Linked DNA regions of Macaca mulatta. The protein of the gene in region 3 purifies or fractionates together with the protein of the main gene of each other region. This does not show direct contact. Links are inferred from orthologs where the notes say so. Each region holds a gene or a part of one and is shown on either strand. Other genes may lie near its edges.

Evidence for each region. Proteins that work in one complex are often made in the same cells at the same time.
Region 1: the proteins of SLC38A9 (region 3) and LAMTOR1 purify together in Homo sapiens (co-immunoprecipitation; 5 studies listed by BioGRID and IntAct, with this or other methods). This does not show direct contact. The link is inferred for Macaca mulatta from reciprocal best matches to the Homo sapiens genes SLC38A9 and LAMTOR1.
Region 2: the proteins of SLC38A9 (region 3) and LAMTOR2 purify together in Homo sapiens (co-immunoprecipitation; 5 studies listed by BioGRID and IntAct, with this or other methods). This does not show direct contact. The link is inferred for Macaca mulatta from reciprocal best matches to the Homo sapiens genes SLC38A9 and LAMTOR2.

Annotation. Positions count from the first base shown.
Region 1 is NC_133419.1:72,398,546-72,402,765, forward strand, and holds the start of LAMTOR1 (ragulator complex protein LAMTOR1), read right to left. Parts: upstream 2,819-4,220; 5' UTR 2,656-2,818; coding exon 2,614-2,655; intron 1-2,613. UniProt on the Homo sapiens protein: Key component of the Ragulator complex, a multiprotein complex involved in amino acid sensing and activation of mTORC1, a signaling complex promoting cell growth in response to growth factors, energy levels, and amino acids.
Region 2 is NC_133406.1:110,879,401-110,883,757, reverse strand, and holds the start of LAMTOR2 (ragulator complex protein LAMTOR2), read left to right. Parts: upstream 1-1,539; 5' UTR 1,540-1,664; coding exon 1,665-1,732; intron 1,733-2,037; coding exon 2,038-2,200; exon of another isoform or gene 2,201-3,218; intron 3,219-4,357. Other genes in the region: UBQLN4 (ubiquilin-4), read right to left, coding at 379-486. UniProt on the Homo sapiens protein: As part of the Ragulator complex it is involved in amino acid sensing and activation of mTORC1, a signaling complex promoting cell growth in response to growth factors, energy levels, and amino acids.
Region 3 is NC_133411.1:63,475,636-63,479,280, reverse strand, and holds part of SLC38A9 (neutral amino acid transporter 9), read left to right. Parts: intron 1-110; coding exon 111-174; intron 175-409; coding exon 410-503; intron 504-3,645.

The DNA.
Region 1 (4,220 bases), on a different chromosome or scaffold from region 3:
TTGCCCCATCACCTCTGTAAACTCCCAGACACCCTTCCTCCCTAAAACACAGGCTCAGTATTAAAAGAGCTAAAAAGACAAAATGTTTGCCAAAGATAAAACTATGTATTTCTAAGGAAAGCTGGCTCCATAATGAGGCCCAAGTTAGCTTCCTATGTGTCTGTCCTTCTCCCAGCTCCACTTCAGACAGATCTTCCTGCAGGACAGGGTAGTCTCTTCCCTATCAGGGGTTCTTCAAGAAGAAGGCTGGCTGATCACTTCTCAGCCTTCAGCTAAGATCAAGGGAGGAACAAGGTTGTTTTCTTGAAACCTAGACTTAAAGAAGAGGCCATGCTACCCCCTTCAGAGTAGACAAGTATCACCCCACTCCCGAAGTGCGAGTGGAGCATGGGTTAGGTTTGTCACATCAAGGTTTGTCTCTGCGTCAGTGTAACCCAAGAGGCAGGGTTTCACTGTCTACCTTAGCACAGACATAGCACCCTGCCCATGACTGGCCACCTGGTCTAGGGGCATAGATGAGACTGCTTGGCCCCATGGATAAAGTACATGGCTTGGCATCAGAACACCCGGGCATTAGCACTTCCCAGCTTGGCCAAATCACTTAGCTTCTCTGAACTTTTTCCTCACCTTTAAATAGACATAACCCACACTAATATGACAGATGTCTGGCAAGAGTCAAATTAGATAACTATCACGGCCCTTTGTAAACTGTAATGTGTTGTACATTTTTTATTGTGATAAAGAGACAGAGATGAGAGTGGGAGAGGAGCCTGCCCAAGAACTGAAAGAGGGACTCTGGGAGGTGGATGGTTACGGCTCTTGCTACGTGAGGCCTCAAATCACCCAGCAGTGATTAAACATCTTCTCTGGGTGTTAGGAACAGAAAGGAGAGCCCACCAAGGAGAAGGTAGAGATTCAGGAGAGCAGCAGGCCCAGCTCTCCCTTCCAAGTAGAAGCTGGTATCCTTTCTCATAAGGCATTAATCCTTCTTGACTCATTCCCTGCAAGAGTCCACATTATGCTTTAAGGGACAATTTCCCACTAGGCCACAGCTCTCCCAGTAGGCAGGGTTATTGTTGTCTCTTTCTCAAAAAGGTGGAGGTGAAGTGAGAGGTATTAGGCATGACACATGCCTAACACAGAGCAAAGGAAATATGTGTTCATTGGGTGTATGAAGAATTGAGAACCAGAAGCGACCCTTGCTTCCCATACAAATGACATTTTCTTTTTTTTTTTTTTTTTTGAGACGGAGTCTCACTGTCTCCCAGGCTGGAGTGCAGTGGCCGGATCTCAGCTCACTGCAAGCTCCGCCTCCCGGGTCCACGCCATTCTCCTGCCTCAGCCTCCCGAGTAGCTGGGACTACAGGCGCCCGCCACCTCACCCGGCTAGTTTTTTTTTTGCCTGTTTTAGTAGAGACGGGGTTTCACCGTGTTAGCCAGGATGGTCTCGATCTCCTGACCTCATGATCCACCCGTCTCGGCCTCCCAAAGTGCTGGGATTACAGGCTTGAGCCACCGCGCCCGGCCACAAATGACATTTTCCTAAGCTTAAGCCCTTAATCCAAAATACGTTCACTGAAGAAATAACTACTTCCCAAGTACCAGTGATATAATCTATTTTTGTGACCATCTCCCCTATTAGACTGTGAGCTACTTGAAACCTTTCTACTTTCTCAGGTCTACTATATGTTCAAATGTAGAATCCAGGGTTAGAGACGATCAAAAAAGAGTGGACAGCAACTTGTGACTTCATCCTTGAATGTCAGGCCAGGCGGGGCAGGGATTAGAATGTGGAGAGAAGTGAGAATGCACTAAGAGGAAGAGGGAGAATTTAAAACTGTACAGGTCTCCCCAGCCTAAGCCTTTCGTCAGAGGGATCAGATCTACAGCCAAATTCTCAGAACAGGCATGTCTCCAGCTAAAGGAACCCTCAGGCCCCAGGCAGACTGCACTGAGGCAAGCCAAACTCAGACCCAAATGAACTTCCCGCTCCATTTCTCTTTTACCACAATCTAGTCAAAGCTAAACCCTCTTTGTTGCTTCCCAGACAATTTCCCCCATGTCCCGATGTCCTCACTGTATCCATTAAATCCTTCATTGGCCAACTCAAAGGCCACCAACTTCCAGAATCGTCCTCTGGCCCTAAACTAGCAGCGACCTTCCTTCTGCAACCCCAGGGACTAAGACGATACATGAATTCCTGATTCATCGCAGGACAGCCTAACTCAGGGCCTCAGCTTACCCACCCCTGCAATGGATTCGCAAAACCCACTAATACAGAGAAGACAGGAAGCTGGGAAGGGAGTATTTCCCGGGGACCTAGACTGAGGATCCTTGAATCTGGAAAGTTTTGAAGGTAGGAGCAAACGGAAGTGGTGGGAGCGAGCCGGACAGGCGGCTGCCTGTACACCCCGAGGCGGGGACCGCGTAGAAAGCTGGGGCTTTAACTGGGGTAGGAGTCCGGCTTGGCGTCTCCTGTGTAATCTGTCCCCTCCAGGCCTCCGTATTCATCGAGCCCTGCAGTCCTGGCCCGTTCTCCGCAGATTTCTTTCTGGGGCCCCAAGCCCCAGGGTCTTAGCCCTCATTCCCGAGCCCCGCCTGCCGCGGCCGCACCTGGTCCGAGTCCTCGTTCTCGCTGCTGTAGCAGCACCCCATGGCAGGGGTCAGGCCGGGCGCTCAGGCCGCGCCGAGGAGGGACGGCGTCCGTCAGGAGCCCTTCCGGTCACATGACCCGCAACTGCCTCCCGCAGGCAACCACCCGCCGCCACCCCCAGTATCCCTTCTCCCGGAGCCGCTGGGCCGCCTCAGGCAATACCCCGGCTTCCGGTCCCGCCCGCTAGCGCGTGATCGTTGTCAACCAATAGGAAGGCGTAACCGGACACGCAGGCAAGTGAAGCGAGGAAAGGGAGGGGCGGATCACATGACTTCATCTTTCCAGTCTCTAAACTGGCAGAAGTGGCCGTCGTGAATAGTGTTATGCGTTCTCGTGGCCACTAGGCCACTTCTCTGGGCCATTGAGCGAACTCGTACCAAATGCCCTTATATGCCCTCGTGATATACTCTTCTAAATGCCATGCGAGGGGCGAGTGGGATCCAGGCCTGACGCTCCTAGATCGTACAGCCTGGGTGCACACACAGAAGATCCAGATGACCGGTACCCAGTAGGGGAACAGAGGGTGTATCGCCCAGCTGGGCTGGGGGTGAATACACGGAGGGTGTATTCTGCACCTGGGCTGGGGATCTGCGACTTACAGGAAGAAGGGACCTTATACTCCTTCACATGCTGACGCGGAGCGGAGATAAATCCTGGTGGAGGAGATAGAAGTCACCTCACTGACCTCTCTGCCTTCAGGCTTTTATCTTTAATTCTGCCTTTTTTTTAACAGGACCCATAGTAAATCTAACGCACAAAGCTGACCATCAGTTCTCTTTTCCTAAACGCCCCTCCTCCCCCATGTCTTCCCTTGGGCCCTGAACACAGGTCCAAGTCCGTCCAAAATTGTATAGTGATCCATTTGTTGTTCATGCGCGTGTGATTCCGCGTGTGTGAAATGCGCCCACCCTCAAATCTTGTTTTGGCACATTACCCATCTGACATATCAAAGTCACGCAGAGCCTGACACCTCTCTGCCACTGCATGTTCTGAGGTGAGGGGTGAGGGGGTGGAGGGGTGAGCAATCTGTTTCACTGGACATAGAGAAATGATGTTTCCTGATTGATCTACTGGACTTTGCACATGCAGCCTGGTCTGCCTACTGTCTTCGAGACTCAGTACAATGTCCTCCTGATTACCTTCTCTGACCCCATTCTCTGGACATGTCCAGCTCTCTATGCTTAATCCTCATCCAGTGTTAATTCATGCATCTATTAACAAATATTTGCTGAGCGTCTACTATGTGCCACACACTGTTATATCTGGATATGCATCAGTTCACAAAACAGCCAAAGTCCCTGTAGTCGTGGAACATCCAATAGTGATCACACTATATTCTATGTTCCTGGGTCAGTCTCACCTACCAAACTTGGGAGTTCCTAGAGCACAATGACAGGTTCTGACTCTTACCTGTGGCCCAAGGCATGGCCTTGCTTACAAAAAACTTGCGTATCAATGAGTACATTACAGTCACCCCATCACCTTGGCTCACCCCATGCCCCATCTCCTGATCCAAGGGATCGCAGAAGTCGCCAGATCTCGTACCTCTTATAACCCCTCAAATCAA
Region 2 (4,357 bases), on a different chromosome or scaffold from region 3:
GTAGGCGCCGGCGCTCTCCGCCTGCCCCCGGCCCGTTCTCTCGGTTAGCACCTTCCCTGGGCCCCCACTCCGGCACACTCCCCTCAAACCCAGGGTCCTTCCCCCTTCCTGGTGCAAGGTGTCCCCTCCTCACTCTCCACCACGCCCCCAGCCCAGGCCACAAGGCAAAACCCGCCCCCCAACACGCGCCACGCTCCCCAATATCTCCCCTCGCAGGGCGCCCCCTACCCGACTCTCCTTCCCTTCAGCTCCTCGGAGTCCCAGCTGGCCCCCGCTCTCCTCTCCGGGGCCCTCCAGGACGCCAGACCGTCAGGGAGGCCCCCATCTCTTCGCAGACCCCTCCTCCGCGCTCCCCCCGCCTCCCGCCTGCTGTACTACCTCCTTGACCGAGGCTCGATCGCAGATCACAATTTCCTCCTTGTCCTTAGGGGTCTTGACGGTGACCCGAATAGGGGGCCTCGTCTCGGCCCCGCTCGGCTCCGCCATGCCGCCGCCGCCACCCGGCCGCCCGCCAGCCCGCCCGGCTCCTCCTCCTCCCCGCCCGCCCGGCCGGCCCGGCTCGGCTCCTGCGCCTCCAACACTCCCCTCTCTCCACCTCTCCCCTCCCCTCCCCTCCCCTCCTCTCCCCTCCCCTCCCTGAGGCTTCACCGCCCCCTCCAGACCAGCCGCAGCCACAGCGCCCCGGGCGGACCGGGGGGGCCACTGCAGCGGGGTCCGCCCAGGGCCAAGCCCCAGGTCCGGAATCCGGCCAGGGTCTCGCCAAGCTGGGGCTCCTGGGGAGGCTCTGGGCGGGGGAAGGGACGTGCCCTTCACTGCGGGGGCGAGGGCGAACTCCCCGGGAGACCGCGGCCCAACGCTGCTCGCCCGAGCCGTGCCGCCGTCCCCTCCGGCCCAAAGCCTCCCCGCCCCCTCCGCGGCTAACTCTGCTCCGGGACAAAGGACTTTGTGTGTCGCCGCTTTATCTCCGTTCCCTGTGATAACTTGGTCTTTCTTGGAAGCCCCAAGTCCCTTCCAGGCCAGGGGCCTTTCCCGACTTGGAGGTTGGGTTTCCCACCAAGCACGTCCACTTAGGATCTCAGCTCTAGGACTGACCCTATAGCCCCGAGGGTCGCGGCCTAAATGGTCTGTTGCGAACGGTTCCAGGGAGCTGGGTTTTGGCTGCGTGGCCTTTCAGAGCCTTGATTTCCTCAAGATAATAATAGTACCTCTCGCCTCATCGCACAGAATTGTGCATAACGGAGAAAACTGTTTTGAAAGTAACCAAAGGCGCGCCTGACAAATATGAGGATGTAGTATAATTATTGAATCGTGGACTGCCAAGCGGACACGTTGATTCCTTTCTCCCCGAAGGGGTTAAATGTCCTTCCAGCGCTGCAGCTGTCCTTTCACTCCCGCTCTTTTCCGCCCCCACAACCGCGTGGTCCGCCTGGAAAGGCGAACTATAGTTCCCATGGTGCCTCGCGAGGTCACGAGGAACTACGATTCCCAGAGACCCCCGCGGCGGGGCGGTGTTGAGTCGGAACCACAATAGCCAGGCGAGGAAACTACAACTCCCAGGGCATCCCGGAGCAGGCCAACGGGACTACGGGAAGCAGCGGGCAGCGGCCCGCGGGAGGCATCTCGGAGGATCTGGGTGCAAAAACCCAGGGTTAGGAGCGGTAGGCATGCTGCGCCCCAAGGCTTTGACCCAGGTGCTAAGCCAAGCCAACACTGGAGGCGTCCAGAGCACCCTGTGAGTGCGGACCACGGACCCCAGCGGCGCGCGCTGCAGTGGAGCGGCGTGCGACTCCCTGAGGGAGGGGTGGGGAAGGATCGCCCGGAAGGGAGGAGGCGTCAGAGGGGGCAGTGGCTGGGGGTACCGGCCGGGAGGTCACCTCTCGAAAAGGGAGGCCGGTGTGCTGGGTGCTTAGGGCACGTTCCGGGACACACTCAGCCGAGAGCCTTGCTGGATGTGCCCGTGGCGGGACTTGAGATGGAAACCCAGACGTTTTACTCCCCGCGCTGAGCACATCGTTATCCCTCCCCGCCCCTCACCAGGCTGCTGAATAACGAGGGATCACTGCTGGCCTACTCTGGTTACGGGGACACTGACGCCCGGGTCACCGCTGCCATAGCCAGTAACATCTGGGCCGCCTACGACCGGAACGGGAACCAAGCATTTAATGAAGACAATCTCAAATTCATCCTCATGGACTGCATGGTATGGAGAGGGGAGCCAGACTTCCCCTGTCCCCCAAGGGGATCCCAAGGGGGCGACCTGGACCCCATCCTGGATGGTTGGAGGGGCAGGGACAGGATCTCCGGAAGATTACTAAGAGTTGGTCTGCAGCAGCATTTGTAATAGGCAGGACCCTATTCATCAAGTGGTGGTGAGGAAGGAGCCCTGGACCTGAGAGGTCTGACTTGGGTTCTGGTCTCAGCCATCCACTTATCAGTTGTGGAACCTTGGGTAAGTCGCTTAACCTCTCTCAGCTTCCTTACCTCATGTCTAAGGAGAAGACAATTTCCCTCTCCCCGCTTCCCTCGTGGGTTGTTGTGAAGGTCAAATGAAATAATGGGTATAAACAGTAGAATGACGTGCAAACACAAAGTGTTGTCATCCCAGCTTCACCGACTCACAGAACCATGGCAGTCTCCAGACCCTAGTCCAACCCCTTAAGGTTACAAAGAAAGGAAAATGAAGTCCAGAAAGGGGAAGTCGCCATTAGACTGTGAACTTCCTAGTATCTGTTCAGTTAACAAATATTTAGGTCCTTGCAGTGTTCTCAGGACTAGGGAAAAAAAACAGCAAACAGAAAGACAAAACCCCCAGACCTAATAAATCTTACACAGTGATGCGATCACAGCTCACTGCAGCCTCGACCTCCCTGGGCTCAGGTGATCCTGCTGCCCCAGCCTCCTGAGTAGCTGTGACTACAGTCATGCACCACCACACCTCACTAAGTTTTGGATTTTTTGCAGAGACTGGGTTTTGCCATGTTGCCCAGGCTGGTCTCAAACTCCTGGCTCAAGTGATCCACCCACCTCGGCCTCCCAAAGTGATGGGATTACAGGTGTGAGTCACTGTGCCCGGCCACATTTTTTAAAATAAGTAAAATATGTAGTATATATTAGGTATTGAAATTGCAATGGAGAGAAAGCAGGGAAGTTAAAGAGTATGAGTTTGTTGGGCGTATGTGTCAGGGACAGTCTCACTGGAAAGGTGATATTTGATCAAAGATGTGAAGAAAGGTGGGGGACAAGCCATGTGGCTATCTGAGGGAAGAATATTTTGGACAGAACAGCAAGTACCAAGGCCCTGAGGCAGAATTATGCCTGCTCAAGGATCAACAGGGTTGGTTGGTATGGCTGGAGTTGCATGAGAATGGAGGAGGGTTAAGTAGGAGATAAGGTCAGAGAGGCAGGGAGTGCAGTGCTTGGTTCCTGGCATACAATGAATACCTAGTAAAAGTTTGCCGAACTTACTTTTGTTTTTTTCAAATCGGCCAGAGGGTGAACTCTCCAGGAAGGATCTTCATAGTAACTCAACTGCCTACTCTCCCCTACCCCCTGCACAACCAATGCCATTTTTAGTTCAACATAAGACTCCTACTGGATGCCTAGAGCTGGTGCTATAAGGAAATAGCTTTCAAACGTTTTGACCACAACCCAGCCATAAGAAATATATTTTAAAGGGCCGGCACGGTGGCTCATGCCTGTAATCCCAGCACTTTGGGAGGCTGAGGCGGGCAGATCATGAGGTCAGGTGTTCAAGACCAGCCTGGCCAACATGGTGAAACCCTGTCTCTACTAAAAGTACAAAAAATTAGTCAGGCATGGTGGCATGTGCCTGTAATCCCAGCCACTAAGGAAACTGAGGCAGGAGAATCACTTGAACCCAGGAGGTGGAGGTTGCAGTGAGCTGAGATCACGCCATTGCACTCCAGCCTGGGCAACAGAGCGAGACTCCATCTCAAAAAAAAAACCAAAACAAACAAACAAACAAAAAACAAATACATTTTAAGGCTGAGCGCAGTGTCTCACTCCTGTAATCCCAACACAGACTGAGGCTGGAGGATACTTGAGGCCAGGAGTTTGAGACCAGCCTTGGTGACCTAACAAGACCTCATCTCTACAAAAACTTTTTTTAAAAATAAATAAATAAATAAATAGGAAATAATTTTTTAAGAAAGACATTTTAAGTCACAGCTCAACACACACATATACCCACTAAAACAAAAGTCATGAAACAATACTTTTCCTACTACATGTAATATACTTCATTTTTTCTTTTTTCTTTTTTAATGCTGATCAACCTTCTTTTTTTTTTTTTTTCTTTTTTTTTTTGAGACGGAGTCTCACGCTGTTGCCCAGGCTG
Region 3 (3,645 bases):
ATGACTTAAACTGTATGTGAATGAAAATTACTGGTTATTTTTTGTCTCAATTCAAATGTTTGAAGAGGCAAACTCCATTTTTTTTTACTGCTATTACTCTGTGTTTTCAGTTTTATGATTTGGAATACCATGATGGGAACATCTATACTAAGCATTCCTTGGGGCATAAAACAGGTAATACTAATTTTTTAGCACACTTTTTGCCTAAATGATTTTCTGTTTATATTGCAAGTTTTATAACAGAGGTTTTAATGAATCTACATAAAATTCATGAACGAAAATAGATGGTTATATTTAGTTTTTCATGAGTTGTCAAGTTTTTACCATGATTGTTTAGGGTAAAATAATTGCATATGAATTTGTGCTTACATGATGATGTATGCTGTTTTATACTTTTATTTTTAAACAGGCTGGATTTACTACTGGAATGTGTGTCATCATACTGATGGGCCTTTTAACACTTTATTGCTGCTACCGAGTAGTGAAATCACGGACTATGATATGTAAGAATTTGACACAGTGACAATAGATTATGGGTATTAATAAGCATTTCCCTTTGAGGCAGGTCACTAGTGTGTATATGCCACATGTGCGTCAACTGTCTACTTTGTACCTAAAGATTTACTTCTGTAATTCATTGCTTTCAGCTAAATTGAATTTGTTAATAATATATTAGTGGCTGCCTTTGAAATTCAGAGAAGCTGGGAGTTACTTGCAGAGAGCATTCACTGTGGTGCTAGTTTCTTCATAAGAATCATTTAAAAACTCATATTTATAAAATAATGTCTTTGCTAGAACTAAATTGAGAATTCTATGCTTCCTGTCAGTTAATGGTGACTTGTTTTTACCTATTGATACCAAAAGATCTAAATGTTAGAATCTCCTAAATATGAAAATGTAAGCAACTCTCTAGTAATGAATATTTGAAGTTGTGTGAACACCTTACCTCTACTCTATCTACATATTCTGGATCAGGGAAATATATTTTTTAGGTTGTTTTTAAAGTAGTCTAGGACCTAAACAAACATGCATTATTTCATTAAATCTTAGCAAGTATGAATCAACAGACCAGACTTTGCCTCCAGTTTTTTTCTGTGCCTACTAAGCAGCTTTCTTCTTTATGTTAACCAGATCTAGTGTTAGTCATTGGGCGAGTATTTGTTTAAAAGTCTTGAGAAGCCAGACCTGGTGGTGTGTGCCTGTAGTCCCAGCAACTCAGGAGGCATAGGTGGGAAGATCACTTTAGTCCAGAAGTTTGAGGCCAGCCTTGGCACTGTAGCAATACTCCATCTTAAAAAAAAAAAAAAAAAAAAAGAATAAAAAAGTCTTGAGAGAGGATTCATTCTGGTTTCTAAATGGTAAAAGGAGATAATTTTAGCCTCTGGTTTCTAAGGCAAATTGTGGCTAAACTTGGAAGACTTCTTTAAACATATACAGTAAGTTCATATCTTATCTAATTCAGCATCTAATTTAAAATTGGGACAGAGCCCCCAGAGAGTTCTCTCTATAACTTTTTTCTTTTCTTTTCTTTCTTTTCTTTTTTTTTCTTTCTGAGACAGGGTCTCACTCTGTCACCCAGGCTGGAATGCAGCAGTGCTGTCACAACTCACTGCTGCCCGGACCTCCCGGGCACAGGTGATTCTCCCACCTCAGCCTCCTGGGTAGCTGGGACTACAGGTGCATGCCATCATGCCCGGTTAATTTTTTGTGTTTTTCATAGAGACAGGGTTTCACCATCTTGCTCAGGTTGGTCTCGAACTACTGGGTTCAAGTGATCTGCTCACCTCAGCCTCCCAAAATGCTGGGATTATTGGCTGTATAACTGTTAACTCCCATGTTATTACATTATTCCACACCATTTAAAAAGAAGAGAGGCTGAGGCCCAAGAATTGCTTGAACCCAGGAAGTGGAGGTTGCAGTGAGCCAAGATTGTGCCACTGTACTTCAGCCTGGGTGATGGAGTGAGACTGTGTCTCAAAATAAAATAAAATAAAACAAAATAAAAATCTTCCACCAATTCAGTTTAAAGTCCACACACCCATAACACAAAGCCTGACATGACCAAAAATAAAGAAAATAATATATAGATGTAAAATTTATTTGTAAAACATTATCATATAGAATCCAACAGCGTATCAAAAGCATATCCTGTGTCTAAGATAAGGTTTATTCCAGTAATGCAAGAATGTTTCATTATTAAGAAATCCAACATAATTCACTACATTAACAAATTAAAGGAAAATTGATAATTGCTTCAATAGCTATCAAAAAGGTACTTAATAGAATTCAGCACCTGTTTCTGATTAAAACTCTAAGTGAAAAGCACTACTTAAAAATAACAAAGTCTATTTATTCCCAGACAAGTACCAGCACCATTCTAAAATTATGAAATGCTAAAGCAGTTTTCATTAAAGTCAAGAAAACATAGAAATGTTCAAAATTAATCAGTTTTTTTGGAGATATTGTCAAATGCAGCAAAAAAAAAAAAAAAAAACCCTAAATATAAAAACTAGAAAAGACTTAGAATTATATTATCAGTCAAAAGATAATTTTATTAGAAATGCTAAGAGTCACTCAGCTCACTGCAACCTCCTCCTCCCAGACAAGCAATTCTCATGCCTCAGCCTCCCCTGTAGCTGGGACTACTGGCGCCCACCACCATGCCTGGCTAATTTTTGTATTTTTTTTCTTTTTCTTTTTCTTTTTTTTTTTGAAACACAGTCTCATTCTGTCACCCAGGCTGGAGTGCAGTGGCAGGATCTGCAAGCTACGGCTCACTGCAAGCTACGGCTCACTGCAAGCTACGCCTCCTGGGTTCATGCCATTCTCCTGCCTAAGCCTCCCAAGTAGCTGGGACTACAGGTTCCTGCCACCGGGCCTGACTAATTTTTTGTATTTTTAGTAGAGATGGGGTTTCACCATGGTCTCGATCTCCTGACCTCGTGATCCACCCGCCTCGGCCTCCCAAAGTGCTGGGATTACAGGCATGAGCCACCGTGCCCAGCAATTTTTGTATTTTTTGTAGAGATGGTGTTTCGCCATGTTGGCCAGGCTGGTCTCAAACTTCTGACCTCAAGTTGATCCATCTGCCTCGGCCTCCCAAAGTGCTTACAGGCATGAGCCACTGCACCCAGCCAAAACAGTTATTCTTTATAGTGATATTGTCCTCACATTCTTTATCTAGATGTGAATTATATTCTAATGTCCCCAACTTTTCAGGCTTATCACTGCTTTCTGCCATGTACTAGCTGCCATATTTTGCTTCAAAGATGGCAGAACTTCAGTTTTTCCGTATTCATCAACCGTGACAATTATTTCAAAGTAGTTCAAAGCATGGGATCATAGAGGAAAAAAGACTGTACAATTATCCTTTGATGACAATTAATATACTCTTTCATAGGTTATACTTATCTATATTCTTTCTTGAACATTGAAATGTAAAACACAAAGTTTATATTGTTAATATAATAACCCTATCATGGAAAAGCAAATGGTTTTCGTTTTTTGTTTTCTTATGTAAATTTATATCCTAAATGATAGGAATCTCTACATGCTTTTTAAAGTTAATCATATTGTATTTTAGTTGTCTTCTACTTTATTACCTATTTTTTAGTACATGTTATGTTTCTACAATCACCATTTGTG